Linked DNA regions of Ovis aries. The protein of the gene in region 1 binds, or shares a complex with, the protein of each later gene. Links are inferred from orthologs where the notes say so. Each region holds a gene or a part of one and is shown on either strand. Other genes may lie near its edges.

Evidence for each region.
Region 2: EPC1 (region 1) and VPS72 share a complex: the UniProt entries of both Homo sapiens proteins name them as parts of the nuA4-related complex. The link is inferred for Ovis aries from reciprocal best matches to the Homo sapiens genes EPC1 and VPS72.
Region 3: EPC1 (region 1) and BRD8 share a complex: the UniProt entries of both Homo sapiens proteins name them as parts of the nuA4-related complex. The link is inferred for Ovis aries from reciprocal best matches to the Homo sapiens genes EPC1 and BRD8.
Region 4: EPC1 (region 1) and ING3 share a complex: the UniProt entries of both Homo sapiens proteins name them as parts of the nuA4 histone acetyltransferase complex. The link is inferred for Ovis aries from reciprocal best matches to the Homo sapiens genes EPC1 and ING3.
Region 5: EPC1 (region 1) and MBTD1 share a complex: the UniProt entries of both Homo sapiens proteins name them as parts of the nuA4 histone acetyltransferase complex. The link is inferred for Ovis aries from reciprocal best matches to the Homo sapiens genes EPC1 and MBTD1.

What each region holds. Positions count from the first base shown.
Region 1 is NC_056066.1:32,590,642-32,594,158, reverse strand, and holds part of EPC1 (enhancer of polycomb homolog 1), read right to left. Parts: intron 1,686-3,517; coding exon of another isoform or gene 1,669-1,685; exon of another isoform or gene 1,569-1,668; intron 927-1,568; coding exon 808-926; intron 729-807; coding exon 642-728; intron 1-641. UniProt on the Homo sapiens protein: Component of the NuA4 histone acetyltransferase (HAT) complex, a multiprotein complex involved in transcriptional activation of select genes principally by acetylation of nucleosomal histones H4 and H2A.
Region 2 is NC_056054.1:101,078,607-101,082,123, reverse strand, and holds part of VPS72 (vacuolar protein sorting-associated protein 72 homolog), read left to right. Parts: intron 1-884; coding exon 885-1,037; intron 1,038-1,212; coding exon 1,213-1,327; intron 1,328-1,716; coding exon 1,717-1,893; intron 1,894-3,517. UniProt on the Homo sapiens protein: Deposition-and-exchange histone chaperone specific for H2AZ1, specifically chaperones H2AZ1 and deposits it into nucleosomes.
Region 3 is NC_056058.1:47,270,507-47,274,732, forward strand, and holds the start of BRD8 (bromodomain-containing protein 8), read right to left. Parts: upstream 2,802-4,226; 5' UTR 2,793-2,801; coding exon 2,774-2,792; intron 1,601-2,773; coding exon 1,504-1,600; intron 1-1,503. Other genes in the region: kinesin-like protein KIF20A, read left to right, coding at 3,838-3,999. UniProt on the Homo sapiens protein: May act as a coactivator during transcriptional activation by hormone-activated nuclear receptors (NR). Isoform 2 stimulates transcriptional activation by AR/DHTR, ESR1/NR3A1, RXRA/NR2B1 and THRB/ERBA2.
Region 4 is NC_056057.1:87,076,244-87,079,760, reverse strand, and holds part of ING3 (inhibitor of growth protein 3), read right to left. Parts: intron 3,379-3,517; coding exon 3,278-3,378; intron 1,288-3,277; coding exon 1,222-1,287; intron 1-1,221. UniProt on the Homo sapiens protein: Component of the NuA4 histone acetyltransferase (HAT) complex which is involved in transcriptional activation of select genes principally by acetylation of nucleosomal histones H4 and H2A.
Region 5 is NC_056064.1:35,292,870-35,296,386, reverse strand, and holds part of MBTD1 (MBT domain-containing protein 1), read right to left. Parts: intron 1,646-3,517; coding exon 1,528-1,645; intron 1-1,527. UniProt on the Homo sapiens protein: Chromatin reader component of the NuA4 histone acetyltransferase complex, a multiprotein complex involved in transcriptional activation of select genes principally by acetylation of nucleosomal histones H4 and H2A.

The DNA.
Region 1 (3,517 bases):
GTGACAATATATAATATGAAATTACCAAAATAAACCTTTAAAATGTGGAAATGGTAAACCTCCAACACAAAGTGTTAAACAAGAAACATGCTAGTAAAACATTTTGGTGATTTGCAATGAATCACTGCATGAATAAATTCATATAATGAATGGGTGAGTAGGCAAAACTCCCTTCACCAAACTTACACACATACATACACAACCTAAGGCAGCCAAGGGACAGTAAGGTGACTACCCCTTTAGAACAGAGGAACAAAACATCAATCGCATCCTAACTCAGCCTAGAGATTAAGAGGCCCCTTGAATTTTTTAAATGATATTTTCCTCTCAGATGTCTAGAGACACAAATCTCAGCCTTCCGTTAAGTTCTATAAATGTGCTTAAATGGCCAATATTTATCATGCTTTAGGTTCAAAAGTGATTTCTTTTAAGAGTAAAAGAAGTTATTTTAGCATAATTTTTAATACATTTTAAGAAGAATTAAAAGTTCTCCAGATAATGAGCTGGGTGGGGCTGTAAGTTAAAGAGGTACATTCACAGACTACAAGATCAGGCTTGAGGACAGGGTCTCCATCTCATTTGCGCTTTTAGGTTTTACTTTTTTACAATAGGAAGCAGAGGGTGACAGCTTCTATACTCACCTGTAATGTTCTTTCTAAACCCTGTATAGAGTGGCTATGATGTAGATTCAGGCGAAAGCCACTTTTCTGCTGGTTAGATGCAAGGCTCTATGACAACAGTTGGTAATTAGAGATGAACTCTGGTGGGAAACATGAGGGATAATCATAAGACAGACAAATCCCTCACCTGTGGCATGGTGGTGGCGGAATTACTACTTGCTTGCTGTTGCTGAATTTGTGCAAGCTGCTGTTTCTGCATGAGTGCCAGCTGCTGTTGATGTTGCTGGTATTGTTCGGCTGTAAATGCTGAACATAAAACGAGAGAACACTTTATAGAAACGCACAGCTATCACATGCAACTTACAATATACGAAAACACATTTAAGCATTTAAAAAAATTTGCGCAAAATGAAAGCATTTGAGCATCCTGTTAAAGATCACTTCTGAATGAGAATTTCAGCATTTTTTATAACCACGCTTGACAAGAGTGGCTTGAGTTTAAAGAGAAATAAAGTGAAACTTTGAGTTGCACATACCAAAGAGAAGTGCTCACTTCCCAAGCTTTGAAACCATTATTTTTTTGGTAAGCTGTGACACTTGTGCCAGACAGTGTAAAAGGTAATACCAGCTTTTTTCAACCGCATGTTGGAAATTCAGCTTTGCACTGAGCTTAAGAAGAGATACAATAATTACCATCTGGTGTCTTTATTTATTCATACTACTGTCCTAATCCATTCAGATGATCTCCAGCAGTTCTGTGCAGAAATACTAGCTGTTCTACATAGTTCTGAATTTTAGTCATTACAAATATTTCCTCCATATGAAATATAAGGTTGTTGGTTTATTACCTTTTTTTTTTTTTTTTAAAAAAAGAACCCATCCTTTAAGTTTAACAGGAAGAAAAGAGGCTCCAAAGGTTAATTAATTTTCCCCACCCAATTAACCCACCTGGAAAAAATCCAGTCAATAAGAACGGAGTTGTTTATGTTGGCTTACTGTACAGAATGATGTCTGAGGAAAGACACTGTGTTATGCTACTTATGTTTGTCTATGGAGAGCTCAGTTCTAAAAAAAACAAACAAAAAAATGTTCATTTATTACCCCCCCAAAAAGTGTGTGCAGTTTTTAAAAAGGAAAACCTTTTTCTTTTTTTTTTTTGCCAATTAAAAAAAAAAAAAGAAAAAAACGTACATACAATCACAACATCTGACTTTAAGGCTTCTTTAAGAAGCCTGTGGTGTTTGGGTAAGAATTATTTCAGAACAGAAAAAAAAGGGTTAGCATGCATCCTCAGTCACTAGGGAATCTATAAACCATGCATATTCCCTCAATCTAAGGTTTAATGTCTTCAAAATACTGTCAACTAATTTGTCATCTTTAAAGATGTTTTGATAATTTATTTAGAATATTACATCATCAAGTTTTGCAATTTTCCCTTATAACTCATGAGAATCTTTATCTTCTGGGGCAGAGTTTCTGCCTAGGACAACTAGAAAATACTTAGCTAGAAGTTAGGTAGAAATTCTACCATATTTTAAACAAGTCAGAAAACTGTGACATAATATTTCAGAAAACCTCTGAAGTTGCAGTACTTACACAGACTTTCATACTTGAGCTGAACTAATTTCCTGGGTTACAAAGGCAAAAAATCATTTGTTGGAAAAACTCTACCATTTATTTTCCTATTTTTGGTGTTACACATCTGTTTAGTTGATATATGTCCTGTGATGAGATTCTTCTTGTTATTTAGTCAGTCATGCTCGATTCTTTTGCGACCCCATGGACTGTGTCCCCAGGCTCCTGTGTCCACAGGATTTCCCAGGCAAGAATACTGGAATGGGTTGCCATTTCCTTCTTCAGGGGATCTTCCTGGCCCAGAGACTGAACCCATTATCGCCTGATTGGCAGGTGGATTCTTCACAACTGAGCCACCAGGGAAGCCCTGTTTTTTTCCTACTATGTTGGTAATCCTCAGCTCTGAACTCTGCAGGAAAAATTCTTTTTTATTGATAAATACATTTTTTTATTGCTAAAAGGATAATCCATAAATAGTTTCATAAAAGCAAGTTTCTGTCAAAATGACCATTTCCATATAACAGAAATAAGTTAAATCAGAACTTAAAAAAAATTTTTTTTAAATAAGGCTGTCTTGAAACAGATTACAATTAACATAATATTTATCTTTATGCTTAAAAAATTTCATAAAAAGAAACTGCTTAATGCCAAAAAGACAATTTAAGTATTGCTAATATGTTTTTGCATCATCTACTTTAATTTCCTAAGCTTGAGTGAGTTGCCTAAATCTTGAATTTCCTGGTAGGAGATGCTTAATAAACTTGAAAAAACAACAACAACAACAACAACAAAAAACCCCATTACTGGAAGGTTACATCATTACACACCTAAAAAACAATAATTTAGCATTCACTAGAATAGATCTGTGTTCAGAACTCCATTTATATGAATGAAAATATTCTTTTGCAGAACTTTGCTGGTGTTTGTGACTTAAAATTAGCAATATTAAGTTATAAATCGATTTCAATAAAGGTTCCAAATATTTTACCCTATTTAAGTCAACATTTCAGTCCTCAGTCTCTGAGGGTTTTGTGAATTTCATTTTTTAAACAACTGTTAACTTCCTAATGCAGATCTAGAAATTAAAAAAAAAAATGCGACCAACACTTTAGATCACTAACACTCACTGTGATTTTAGATCCCTATGTTAGCCTATTTCTTACATATCTCTAAACTCCAGAGTCTAGTTATAAAAATTTCCCTGGACATTTCTGATAAATGTTCTAGAAGAAATGCACAGTATCATATACACCAGAAGTGATGGTAGTAAAAAACATGGGTCTAGGGGCCAAGAGATACTGATTTTCCTTTCATTCTCAGCT
Region 2 (3,517 bases), on another chromosome or scaffold:
CAGTCCATGGGGTCACAAAGAGTTGGACACAACTGAGCACATAGATTGAATGCAACCTTCTTTTCAAATCTTGTAGCTCTTTAGGGCATTCAGTTAGTGTTGGAAGGAGGCTGTGATGAAGCCAAAAGCAGTCAGCTAGGAAGACTTCTACCAGAGACAGACCTGCTTTGCTTAGGTCTAAATCCTTATTCCATAAACATGCTGTGCACATTCTTGCTTCTGTACCTTTGTTCCTGTCATTTGCTCTGCCTGGGATTCCCTCTTCCCTCTTGGCTGTCTAAATACTAGCAGTGTTTTAAACCATGGCTCAAATCCTCTTCATTCTTTAAAGTCTGAAGCAGAGTTTAGTAAACTACAACCTGCTGGCTGAATCTAACCCACTATCTATTTTAATCTGGTCCTTTGCAGAAAAAGTTTGCCAACTATTGGTCTAAAGGAATAAAGTCTAACATTTAGACTTTTCCAGGCCATCAGTCCACAGCAGGTGTGCCTTCCTCTGATCACCCATAACATTTTATTGCCATTTGGTAGTTTATATGTTGCCCTGTATTAAAACTTCCATTTATAATGATGTCTTTTCCTATACTTGACTGTGAGACCCTGAAGGGGGAGACCAAACCGTATCCTTTTGTACCCCAGCACTTAACACAGTGTGCTGTGCTGGGAGCCAGCACGGGAGGGTGCTGCAGGTAAAGGGCAGTCAGTTAACGTTGGAAGGGGTGGTGCTGGAGCCAAAGACCATCAGCCCTTCTTGCCTGAGGAAAATGAAAGGCTAGGCTGGGAAGGAGAGTGGGGCAGCCCTTATCAACAGGCAAAGGGATTCTCTTCCTCCTAGAGGGGCGTTAATAACTGGTAGTGAGAACCTCATCTCCCTGTGTCCTCAGGAATCAGGAGATGATGAGTATCAAGGGGACCAGTCCGACACAGAGGATGAGGTGGACTCTGACTTTGATATCGACGAAGGGGATGAACCATCCAGTGATGGAGAAGCGGAAGAGCCAAGAAGGAAGCGCCGAGTAGTCACCAAAGCATATAAGGTGCAGGGGAGGCCTGGTTTTCTTGGACTTCCTTAATTTGTATTCTCCCTTTCATCAGGTCTCATTATGCCCCACACCAATCCCACTTCCTGCTCTGCTGGTTTTCTCTTCCTAACATCTTCATTGTCTCCCAATATCTTCTCTTCCCTGGTATCTGATTTCACTCTGTCCCCAGGAGCCTCTCAAGAGCCTGAGGCCTCGAAAGGTCAGCACCCCAGCTGGTAGCTCTCAGAAGACTCGAGAAGAGAAGGCACTGCTTCCATTAGAACTACAGGATGATGGCACTGACAGTGAGTGGGGATGTTTGAGTCAATAGACAAAGTTGAAGTGTTGTGATAAAGTACTGTATTCATGTTAAGTTTACTGAAGTTGATAACTTTACTATGAGCATGTAGGAATAATTCTAATTAGGAAATATACACCGAGTATTTAGGGAAGAGAGCCATGATGTTGATGTGCATAACTTAACTCTCAGATTATTCAGAAAATACGCACACACAGATTGCAAATAGGGCAAAATGTTAACAGAGGATTTGGCAAAGGATTCATGGATGTTCTTTGTACTATTCTTAACTTTTTTGTAAGTTTGAAATGATTTCCAAATAAAAAGCTTTAAAATTAAATTCAGAGAAGGTAGACATGAGTTCAAAGATTTCTTCCCCTATGATTTCCTTCCCAGGTCGGAAGTCCATGCGTCAGTCTACAGCTGAGCACACACGACAAACATTCCTTCGGGTACAGGAGAGGCAGGGCCAGTCACGGCGACGGAAGGGGCCCCACTGTGAGCGGCCACTGACCCAGGAGGAGCTGCTCAGGGAGGCCAAGATCACAGAGGAGCTCAACTTACGTTCACTGGGTCAGTCTTTGGTTTTGAGAACAGTGGGTAGAGGGGCTGAGAAGCACAAGGAAAAGTTAGATCTAGAGGCCCCAAAGAATTGGACAGATGGAGATTTGGGACAAGAGAAATCAGAAGAAAGATACGGGGAGAGAAAGTGATTAGGAGCAAGGAAGTAGGCAGTAATGAGGGCCCTGAAGAACAAGTTACATTAAAGTGCTTTGGTATTAAAATAGGAATTGTATGGAAAGGAGTTCAGATTCTAGCTCCACTGCTCACTTGCTATAAGACTGCAGGCAAATTACTTACAACCTGCTTGTGTCTTTCTTTCCTTGTTCACAAAATGCAATGAGATGATAATGCTGCTTTAATGATCATGAGAATTAGAAATTCAGTAGAATCAGTCCGTTCATGAGATACATTGCTTTAAGGTTAAAGTTCTATAAGATCTCTTCAGTTTATGGGCTACTGGGCACACAGTCCTGTATGGGAACATTCAGTACAAAAGCATACATTTCTTTAAGGGGCGGTGAGAGTTCTCAGATCATGAGAGATGAATGAGGGAGCAGCAGATTTCACTCCCCGCATCATGTGCTCACTCTGGAGCATATGTGCATTGAGTGAAATAACGGGGGAAATCTACAATATTTGGTTTGCTGTTTCTCTCTCTCTGAATCTTTTTTTCCTCAAGCACATATAATTGAATATGCATAACCCAAATACAGTTTTACTGTGGTGTGGAAGATTGTTTACCCAGAATATCTGGGAGCCAACTCAGTTTAGTTCAATGGTATCCTTGGTATCCTAAGGACTTCCTTGGTGGCTCAGACGGTTAAGCGTCTGCCTACAATGCGGGAGACCTGGGTTCAATCCCTGGGTCAGGAAGATCTCTTGGAGAAGGAAATGGCAACCCACTCCAGTATTCTTGCCTAGAAAATCCCCTGGACGGAGGAGCCTGGTAGGCTCCATGGGGGAAAAGAGTTGGACACGACTGAGTGACTTCACTTTCACTAACTCATTTTAGTTTAATGGTATCAGTAGTTTTGAAATGTAGCTACCTTCACTCCAGAAAGTTCCCTGGTGGTCTAGTGGTTAGGACTTGGTGGTCTCACTACCTCGCCTGGGTTCTATTCCCGGTCATTGAAGCACATCTTTGGGGCTTCCTTGATAGCTCAGTTGGTAACGAATCTGCCTGCAGTGCAGGAAACCTGGGTTCAATTCCTGTGTTGGGAATATCCACTGGAGAAGGGATAGGCTATGCACTCCAGTATTCTTGGGTATCCCTGGTAGCTCAGCTGGTAAAGAATCCACCTGCAATGTGGGAGACCTGGATTCGATCCCTGGGTTGGGAAGATCCCCTGGAGAAGGGAAAGGCTACCCACTCCGGAGAATTCCATGGACTGTATAGTCCATGGGGTCACAAAGAGTTGGACATGACTGAGTGACTTTCACTTTCACTCCAAAAGACCACAAAAGATTTAATTTTCAACATTTTCAGGGTGTATTGTCACGACTTTTAAAAAATATTTATATTTGGCTGTGCTGGGTCTTCGTTCTGCCCTCAGGCTCTCTCTCATTGCCGAGAGCAGAGGTTCTTCTTCATTGTCGTAGGGTGGCTTCTTGCGTGGAACACAGGCTTTGGGGC
Region 3 (4,226 bases), on another chromosome or scaffold:
TTTCTCTTTGAAAAGTTATTTGAAAAATACATAGAATTGTAGAAGTGTTACATGTGATCAGTAATGGTGCTTTCATAAACTCATTTGAATGGTTAAAGTAGTAGAGATAAACCCTACAAATGCAAATTTGTTTATTAAGTAATTTTAACACTTAAGACAACTAAAAGGTAACTTTAGATACGGAGAGAAAAAAAAAAGTCGGGGGCGGGGAGACCAAATGTTAAAAATGAGACTATGTCCTGGTAGAAAAAAAGATTGGAAAACACACACAGTCCTACTTTCTGGTACTTAAAAGAAACACAAATTAAAACCACAATACAATACCATTTCACACTCAGCAGTATAGCTATAATCAAAAAGACTAAATGTTTGCCAAGCATGCAGAAAAACTGGGTCCCTCATTTATTGCTGGTGGGAATGTAAAACGGTGAGGCCACTTTTTAGTTTGAAAGCAGTTCCTCAAAAAGATAAATATGAGTTATAATATGATCCATTGAGAGTCCCTTGGACTGAAAGGAAATCAAACCAGTCCACCCTAAAGGAAATCAGTCCTGAATATTCACTGGAAGGACTGATGTTGAAACTGAAACTCCAATATTTTGGCCACCTGATTTGAAGAGCTGACTCATTTGAAAAGACCTGATGCTGGGAAAGATTGAAGGCGGGAGAAGGGGACAACAGAGGATGAGATGGTTGGATGGTATCACCAACTCAATGGACATGAGTCTGAGTAAACTCCAGGAATTGGTAATGGACAGGGAAGCCTGGCGTGCTGCAGTCCATGGGGTAGCAGAGTTGGACACGACTGAGTGACTGAACTCAACTATGATCCAGCAATTCCACTCTTTCAAGAGAAATGAAAACATGCCTGCACAAAAGCTTGTACACAAATGTTCACAGCGGCATTAATATTCAGCAAAGTAAAAACCACTCAAATGTTCATCAACAAATGAACAAAATGTGGTAAACCCATACAAGGAACTACAATTTCATCAAAACAAAGAATAAAGTACTGATGCATACTCCAGCATGAACCCTGAAAGCATTATGCTAAGCCCCAGAGTACCACAAAGTATATGATTCCATCTATATGAAATGATCAGAATAAGCTATAGAGAGACAGAAAGTAGATGAGTGTTTGGTGAGGGAGGCGGAAATATTAGAGAGGCGAAGAGATTTGCAGAGTGATTCCTTAAGGGTAAGAGGTTTCTTTCAAGTGTATTTAAAATGTAAAATTAGACTCTAGCATTGGTCCTATGTAAATTATGTGAATTTAATAAATTAAATATTAATAAGTTTTAATAATTTTAATAAATTAAGTTAAATCCTGTGAATATACTGGGAATTCTGTGAATATAATTTTGTGATATGTAATTGCATCTCAAGAAGGCTGTTAACTACTGCTTAAACGTTAACTACTGGAATCCACCGGTACTTACATGAAGGGGAAAAAAAAAAAACGGTTTCTAATACCCAAGGAAGCAGATATCCTAAATACCTTACCAATTTTGATCTCCACTCCTCATGACAGAAGACGCTAAACACAGCTTCTCTCGGATGGACCATGGCTCTGTAGGGCCAGTACTCAGCAGCTTATGTTCTGAAAGATTTAGAGACAACCACTGAGGCACTAAGTCCCAAAGGGAGGATTAAAAGTCTAATACAAAAATGTCCTAACCTGTAAGGACAAAGTGAGCCACTATCACCAAATCTTGATTTTCACCTCTCTAGTAAACACCACCACTAGGATGGTGCCTATTCATTGCTTGAGAACTGCACTTGATTATCTGGCAAAACATTTTTCTGTAAATGCCATGGTTACTCTACCATATTTAAAAAAAAAAAAGTCAAGTTAATTTAGGGCAGTTCTTCCAAAAAACCCAGTTTTAAGAATGCTTTATTCCAGGAACTTCCCTGGTGGTCCAGTGGTTAAGTCTGTGCCTTTTCCCTAGAGGGGACGTGGGTCCCATGATCCTGCCAACCACCAACCTCCCAGCTCTGCCCTGGCCAAAAAAAAAAGAATGCTTTATTCCAAAGTGGACCCCAGGCCTTATTTCCCAGGATTCCGAGCGGCCAACCCCCGCTACTGCCCCGCCTCCTTCTTAGCATAAACTTGTTTACTTCTCTCAGTTACACCCATTCCCCTCAAGCTGTTAGGCCTACAAGACCTTCTCAGTCCCTGAAACAGAGGGAAATGGCTGAGATACAGGAAATGTATTTTTTCCCTAGTGGCAGAAAAAGCTCACGATTAACATGTCCCATCTCTCTGTGAGTACAGGCCTCACAAATGTTCGTCAGAAAATGACTCTTTGGGACCCCGGCCACTCCATATGGCTCACAGCATCTCTGTCCGCACGCCGGAGCCTCTAAGGCACCTTTTTTCCCTCTCACCCCGCAGAGCTGACAAACATACAAGAATTTTCTTAGGCTGCTTTTCTCAAAGCTCCGTGGCCTTGCACACCACAACTAGAGAGGAGCACTCCTCGCGGCAACTAGAGAACAGTCCACGGAAAGCGACGAAGACCCAGCGCAGCCAATAAATAAAAATTCTAAAAGCAAAAAAACTCCGCGGCCTTACTTAAGTGTAAGACTTCACGCTTCTGGGCCCTCAACCCCCAACCGCTGGCCTTAACAGCGCCGCTCGAGCCCAAGTCTCTGATGGCTCTGGGCTCTCAGGTGAATCACTGCTTCTACTCCCTAAGAGTGTGACAGATCTGTTGCCTGGCCTTGGTTCTACAAACACCTTCCACGCAAGAGCAAGGCAGATACTTACTGCCCGTTCCCGTCGCCATCTTGGCCCCGACGTCTCCAACCCCCGAAGGAAGATTTCTGGCCGAATTGAAGCCCAAGGAATTCTGGGAGATAGCGTTCCAGCGTTTATTCGCGGTGCGTCCTGGGAAATGTAGTCCCCTCTCCCCACCCTAGGATGAACCAGCGCCCCAAATCAGGTATTCTTGTGAGTTCCTGAGAAGGAATGTGCGAAAGAACAGAGAATGGTGGCTGAAGCCTTAGGATTTCCTTCAGGCTTCTTAGAAAAGAAATGCCTAGGGTTCAAGAAAAACTGATAAACAGAAGTTCCAGTTGACCCAGCTCCAAAATCCAACAGTTGGTAACCCGTCCCACATTTGAGCAGAGAGGTCAAGCCTAAGAAAACCGTTTCCGGGTTTCGCCCGCCCCCTTGCACTGATTGGTAGGTGCAAGGTTCGCTATCTGATTGGCCGAACGAACTCAGCGCGCAATTTAAAACATTGTATCAGAAACAAAGGTGCGCTTCGTGGGTGGGGTTGTCCTCTCAAGCTGCCGAAAGCCCAGTTTCGGCTGTGGGGTGTGAGTGAGCCGGTCCCGTAGAAGTGTGGCGTCTTTAGGTAAGTGTGCGGCTGAACTTGAGTCAAGTTGGGGCACCTTTGCTCTGGCGGATTAGGCATTCAGAAAGCGGAACTGCCGCCATTTCTGTTTTTCTTAATAATTCTGTCCTCACCGTGGGCCTAGAAGCGAGGTATAGAGAATGAGCCTAGGGCTTCTGACACGGCTGAGGGAGGCTCCCTACTTGGAACTTGGCCTTATGTTTTCGGAGTTAGATATCTGTTCATTCCTGTTCGCGGTCCGAAATGCTGCCTCAGATTGGATTAAATGATTAACTCTTTCTCTCTTTCCCGTTTGCTGGTAGTCGAAAGGAGAAGGGAGTAGGAATTCAGGCAGCGAGACTAGGTTGCCCTGGGGCAAGGGAATTGTTTCTTACCTAGAAAAGAGGGCGAATTCTTCAGCCCCTTTTATCCCTTAAGGTTCTCCTCCCTACCCACTCTTGTCTCTTTTTAGACCTAAACTGCCCCTGCTGCCATGTCGCAAGGGATCCTTTCTCCACCAGCTGGCTTGCTGTCCGATGAGGAGGTCGTAGTCTCCCCCATGTTTGAGTCCACAGCTGCAGATTTGGGATCTGTTATACGCAAGGACCTGCTGTCAGACTGCTCTGTCATCTCCACCTCCCTGGAAGACAAGCAGGTAAAGGAGTTGAAGAGTGGCTTGGGGACTGAAAGTGATATAATCAGCCTACTAGCTGTCCATACAGAGAAGCATGAGGTAAAAAAACCCAGCAATTCTAGAGTTTGACAGGTCAACTCAAAATTAAGAGCATGATAAGTAAAAAATGTACAGTTGTGTGTCCATAAGAAAGCTATTAATTGCGTTGCATTAATGAAACTGAACGCTTACTCTCAATTTATCCTATG
Region 4 (3,517 bases), on another chromosome or scaffold:
TCTTTGTTTATAGACTTAATTCAAGACCAAAACAATTAAGAACTTTATTTGGGTTTCATTCCACCATAAATCAAGCCACCAGCCCACTCTACCCGTCTTTAGGCAGCATCTTTTATGAAACTGTTTTTAGAGTAACTGATGGACAGGGAGGCCTGGCGTGCTGCGATTCATGGAGTCGCAAAGAGTCGGACACGACTGAGCGACTGAACTGAACTGATGAACAAAACAGCCTAGGTTGTTACAGCCATTAAAATACTTTCACTATATAAAAGCAATTAACCATTTTCTGTGGTTTTATACAACATATATTTTCTAGTTTAGTATAGCACTCACAATGCATAGCATATGGGGTATGTACCTTTTATCTGTGTCTTACTCACCAATGACACCTATATTAACATGTACCCGTTCAATAAAAAAACTGTACCCAGACAAGACTACAAAAATAAGATATGAATCAATATGCTAAAGCAAATCAAAAGGAAACATTTGTCTCTAGCTTTAACTTGCTTTGAGGCAGAACCAAAAAAGAGCATTTCCTAAAACATAAACTTTGGGACACGCTGTACATTAAAACAAAAGAAGAAGACAGACTATAACAACCTGAGAAATATTGCATATATCTATCTTCTTAGTGATTTCAATCATTAAGAAGTGCTGCTGCTACTGTTAAAAAAAGAAAAAAATTTTTAAGTCTATTTAATCTTGTATTTCCCAGTTTTGCCACGTGTGCCAGTTGTTGAGTACTATCTAATGAATTTCACTTAATAGACAGCTGAGTACTATCTATTAACAGATTCAAGTAGGTCCCTTTTTCACTTTAATCAGGACTACCAAGAACTGTCAGCACAATCCCCTTAGGAGAGTTCTGCCACAGAAACTATCTCAAGATGTTTTATTGGGCAAGTAAACACACTACCTTAAGAAGATAAAAATTAGTAAAATAAAGTTAAGCACCTATTTTAATACAAAAAAAAAGCCTAACAACAGCTACAATCTTACAGTGACGTAGATATGGCTAAATGTAAGGTTCTTAACTTACTGACTGTGGACTCTCTCTCTTCCACAAAGAAATCAAAAAGTGGACAGTGAACTCTGAAGTTAAATGAGATCCAACGAGCAATAATTCAGTTTAGTCTGTCCTTCCTATTACATTTAAGTCAACACCATTTAAAACATAATCCATAATTCAAATACTTATGGCTATTAATTTTTACTTACCAAGTCATATATCTGGTTTGCCAACTGAACCTTCTCGTCTGCATCTTCCAAAGCTTTATAGTAATCCTGAATAAAAACATTCATGTTTCAGGAACAAATTAATAACTTAAAAATCTGTGTATCCAGGACCTATAACTGCATTTGCATTATCATGGCTTGTTATCACTGTCAGTCATTACAGAGCTTCCCTGGTGGCTCCGATGGTAAAGAATCAACCTGCAATGAGGGAGACCTAGGTTCAATCCTTGTGTTGGGACAATCCCCTGGAAAAGAGAATGGTTATCTACTCCAGTATTCTTGCCTGGAGAATCCTATGGACAGAGGAACCTGGAGGACTCCAGTCCATGGGGTTGCAAAGAGTCAGACACGACTGAGTGACTAAGCACTCAGGAACATACATTATACATGAGCCATAAAAATCCAGTTAGGTATAGGGTGGGGATGGGATAGTATTAGAAATCTTAGACAACAACCAAGGATTAAAGGAAGATGTTCAGAATTCCTAGAAAAGAGATAACAAATAAACACCATCCAGGTCTAGCTATACTAGTCAAAATTAGGTCAGCCAAAGAGTAATTCTTTTTCTTTAAAAATAGATGTTACTTAGGATTCATCTAGTTTGTAAAGAGTGTTTACACTCTCCATTTTTAACACTTATTATAAAGAACTACTGAAAGGCTTCTGACCTGCACATCCATTGTGCAGTTGTTCTGCGACTCTCATTTTAAGCTAGGTATCAGTTCTCTCCAGTATAAAACAAACTATTTTTTCTTAAATTCTATGAATTTCCATGAACTGTCAAGAGTTTTTAGGGTATATCCAGGCTGTGCTGCACCAGAAACTTAGTAGGAAAAGGGGATGATGAATGACTTTAGGATGTATATGTGTGATGTCTATACTCACACACACTCGGGCCTCCAGGTATCCTGCAAGTCAGGGTTAATTCTACAAAAGATTCTCATGTTTTTGTTCCTAACAGAAATAATATTCCCTTCATGTAGTAAAACAGATAACACAAGTAGTTTCCAAATTTCTTTCTCAGTTGAATAATTCTATGAAGGGTAAGGGTAAGGGAGCCATTATTACTCAGAGATATTAAAGGACATGTCCCACATCACAAAGTCAAACTGCAGAGTCATGATCAAACCCAGGGCTTGTAAATCATTCTTCCAATATGTCCGCAAATTAACTAGACCATATCTCTAAAGCAAACCTTGAGGAGAGAGCTGCTACCCATTCTAATCTGGAAGGGAGCTCTAAGTACTACAAAACTTGTCAGCATTCTGTTCTCCTATGATTCCACCAACATAGGTACTTAGCAATATATGAAATATGCTTCAAGGTTGCTAATTTTCATCCCAGTCTGTTGCCCAAATTGGAAGATACTATACTGAGTTGGTCAAAAAGGTCATTTGAGTTTTTCCATCACATTTTATGAGCTGAATGAGCTTTTTGGCCAACCCAATAGATCTTAAGACAAGGGAACTTTAATTCCCCATAATTAGAATAAAACAAATTAAAAGAAAAAAATGTACTTTTTAAATGGCTTTGTAACTCTCTGATTAGTCACTGATTATTGAAATACTGTTCTAAATTACCAAAATGCTTCAATGTTTGAAAGTTCCTACACCTGAAGCTCTAAAATGTAATGAATCATTTTTAATTTTGTAAGTCATTTTAAAATTCTAAAGAGCTACTGATAACTTTCTCTCATTTTGATATCCCCCCCCATTTAATATTAAAATGTCTTCCTCAGCTGTGCTGTGCTCAGTTACGTCCAATTTTCAACTGCTGAAAGTCGTGTTCAGTCTTTTGTGACCCCAGGGACTGTAGCTTGCCAGGCTCCTCTGTCCATGAAATTTTTCAGGCTAGAACACTGGAGCAGGTTGCCATTTCCTATTGCAGGGGATCTTTCTGACCCAGGGATGAAATCCGAGTCTCTTAGGTCTCCTGCACTGGCAGGTGGATTCTTTACCGTCACGACTCCTGGGAATCCCCTATCTTCCTCGGAGAGTTCCAGTATTTACAGATAAATCATCCAGAGCGTTGAACACACCTTTTTGATGGAAGCCATTTGTTCTTCTCGCCACTCTGGCTTATTTTTCTTTGCATTCATGAAGAATTCACTGACTCTTTGTTCTAGCTGATCCATTGCATCTAGGACATAATAAAAACATTTCATATTTAGATGACCAAACTCATATACTGAATATACATGCTTTGATGTGAAGAAAGATGTGATGTGAAAATATCTGACTACATACACTCTTTTACTTGGTCTGTAACTTAAATACGT
Region 5 (3,517 bases), on another chromosome or scaffold:
ACTGAGTATTAAATACATTGATCTTTAGAGCCATTTATATGCAAGTGATTTAAATATCAAGCAAAAAATATATATTGCTGTTTTAAACAAGGTACAGGGAATATTTAGATAATGTCTATATAGCTGGGGGCTTCCCTGGTGGTTCAGATGGTAAAGAATCTGATTGCAATGCAAGATTTGATCCCTGGGTCAGTAAGATCCCCTGGAGAAGGGAATGGCTACCCACTCCACTATTCTTGCCTGGAGAATTCCACAGACAGAGGAGCCTGGCAGACTACAGTCCACGGAATTCCAAAGAGTCAGACAGGACTGAGCAACTAACACTTTCACTTTTTCACTTACATAAGCTGGGGAAATGTTTCATGGAAAAGGTAGGAACTGTACTGGGTTAAATAAGGTAAGTGAGAGAGTGAGAATGAGAAAAGGAATGAAGGTGACATAGAATATGTTATATGAGAGAGAAGGAAAACTAATCTCAGCAGAACAGATCTTTTACGTCGGGGAACAATAAAAAATCTGTTCAGTGGTGTACAGTGAAACTTAACAATAGTTGTAAATGCTGACCATCCTGATCCTTTAAGGACAAAGAAGGCGCTAAAGACAGAAAAATGGAATTGAGATCATTTTTAGGTAAATTAAGTCTATCAGCAGTACACAGGGTGGAATAGGCAAGGCATTTTTGGGAAGATGGCTGGAGATAAGACTAGAAAGAGTAGGATGAGTAAGATACCTCTTCCAGTAATCACAGGATACCTTTCATTATCTGAGTGGCTGCTCCTCCTCTGAAGTATCACAGTATCCTACTATACCACTTACTAAGCACCTTATCATAAAACATATTCAATATTTAGCAGATGTACACTCACCAAAAAAATCTTTTAAGTTTGCACATCACCTGTCCACAGGGTCTAACATAGTAGATACCTAACACATTTACTTTGTGGGCTGGGATACATGGAAGAGGTGGGACTGAAGAAAATATAGTACCCAAAATAGATGAAATTTTCATCATTAGTTTACTTCTGATATTATGGACCGTATCACTTTTTTTTAATACTTTTTGTTACTTTCTGAAATATTTCCCTGTATCAGAGGTTGAGGAAACTATAGGGCCCGCAGATTTGGCCTACTGTCATCCATAATAGTTTTTACATTTTTAAATGGTTGAAAAAAAATTAGATGTAAAGTAATATTTTTTGATATGTAACAATTACATGAAACTCAAATTTTAGTGCCCATAAATCAAGGGTTACTAGAACACATTCATTTATGCCATGCCTGTTCATTTATGCGTTGCTTTGGCTGATCCTATGCTATGATAGAGTTAAATGGTTGTGACAGAGACTGCTTTGGTCACAAAGCTAAATATATTCACTGCTTTGCTTTGTTTTTAACAAAAAAAAAGTTTGCTAACCTTTGCCCTATATCATACTTACTTGGCAATATTTGAAAATTTACAAAAATGTTTTCTTACAAATTACAAATACACGTGATTTTTTAAAGTGAATTATTATGCATGTTTTTCACCTGCTAATTTTACTATTCCAGCGATCCAGAAGACTTTGGTAGGTAGGCTGCAGTCTGTATTGGGAACTTCTACTCTCACATTTTCTGAGATATCACCCCAGCAGGTCCCCATAGGTGCCTGTCATATAAAAATTATTAAATTATCATCTTATTAAATAAAGCCTAAAACATATGGTTCAAAATTAAGCACTATTATTCAATCATGGTAACATTAAACTAAAAATACCATTTAATTCATTCTTTTTTCCTAAAAATATAATTGTTATCCCTTGCATCACAGAATTCTATTTAGAAAAAGCCAGTGTCAGGGACAAGCTCAAGACGAAGAGAATTCACATATACTAGAACTGATCTATACCCAGTTCAAAATTCAATAGTGCTCAAATATAAGACTTGAGAGCAATTTTTATAAATGCCAAATTACAAACTTGATATTAGGTTTCACAGGAAAAAGTTGACTTAAAAATTCATTATTTTATCATGAACTGAATGAATGTACTTTACCTTAACCTCTAATTTTAAAAGATCTGGCTAAAGAGTAGAAAGAAAGAATTTCAATCAGCAATGTGGTTTCCAGTAACACAGAGAAACAAAACTTAGTTATCTGTATTTTCAACTTCAGTTAAGTTCGCAGAACAGAAACATAGTCTGTTACAACAGACTTGTGGCAAAAGCACCAGATAAAGTTGTTAAAACGGTGAAGTTAAAGAGATTTTGGAGAATCGTACATAGTAAATTATTAAATGATTTATTATTTCAAAATTTCTCACGCAGGAATTACAATAAACAAAGAAAACTTTCAATGTTAGATCTGATAGTAATCAGCCTCCACACAAATGGTTAAGATGGGGACGTAGAAAACTAATTAAATGAATATCATGAAGGGATTTGCCAACATTTAGTGTGTTTCCAAATTACAATTTCCATTATATTTTAATCCTTAAATTTGAGGCAGTTTATCATTATTTGGAATTTAGCAAAGGCTAATTAAACCAAAATGAATTTAGGAATTTAAATGCTGATAATACCAAACAGTCTCTGTGGCCCTTGATAATCAGCTCCTCATTAAATACAATTCAGAACCCTGATCACAAGAAGTATTAGGTAAGGATGTAAAAGACTTGATAACATGAACAAATCAGGAAAAGACAAAATAGCTTCAAAGCTAAAAGATGACTAAACACAAAGATATCCAAGAGTCACGCAAACTAGTCCATCTGAACACTGGACAAATGTCTTCCATGCAAGGCTGCTCATCTTGGGTAGTCGCTAACCCAAAAGGGGGTTAGCTTAAAACAGTACTCAACCCATATGCTCTCAACAGCTTAAGGAATTTCTGAAGGACAGGAAGAAAATGTCAAATAATACTGAACTAGGATAAGTCTAGAAACCAAACACAGAATCAACTTATGGCTATTTCTTTAAGTAGCAAGCAAAGAATATACTTCAATCACTTGGATACAGTGGCCTATCTCAAGTATTTCTAATTCTGGAAGGATACACGTAACTATCTTCCTGAGCTGTACAAAAAATAATACATCCACTATGACTACCTCTTTCTGCTATTTTTAAATGGAAAGAATGGACTCTTCAGGTTCTGCTATCTCCCCCTATATCATTCTAGACTGTAGGGCCATCCCTATTGCCAGCAGATATGATCAGAAAAGGAGAGGCTGGAAGGAAGATAGGTAACAGATTAAGCTACCATATATTAACACAAAGACCATGTATTAATTTCTGTGAGGATAAACCAATTTCAGCAGACAGATGTAGTGGAATGTATGCATTAAATTAAGGCAGGATATCCATTCCTCTTTGTTTGGCTGCCAAGCCTTATGAAATGGGCTTTATTTTTCATTAAGAAGGAAGACGCCATGGTTATGCTGACAAGCTGTGTGTAAAGATGAGCACACTGCTAAAAGAATTTGGCATATAGGACTCCCTTTTGAGTTAGGTGTGACAATGTCATACTGACTTTTTTTTTTTTTAA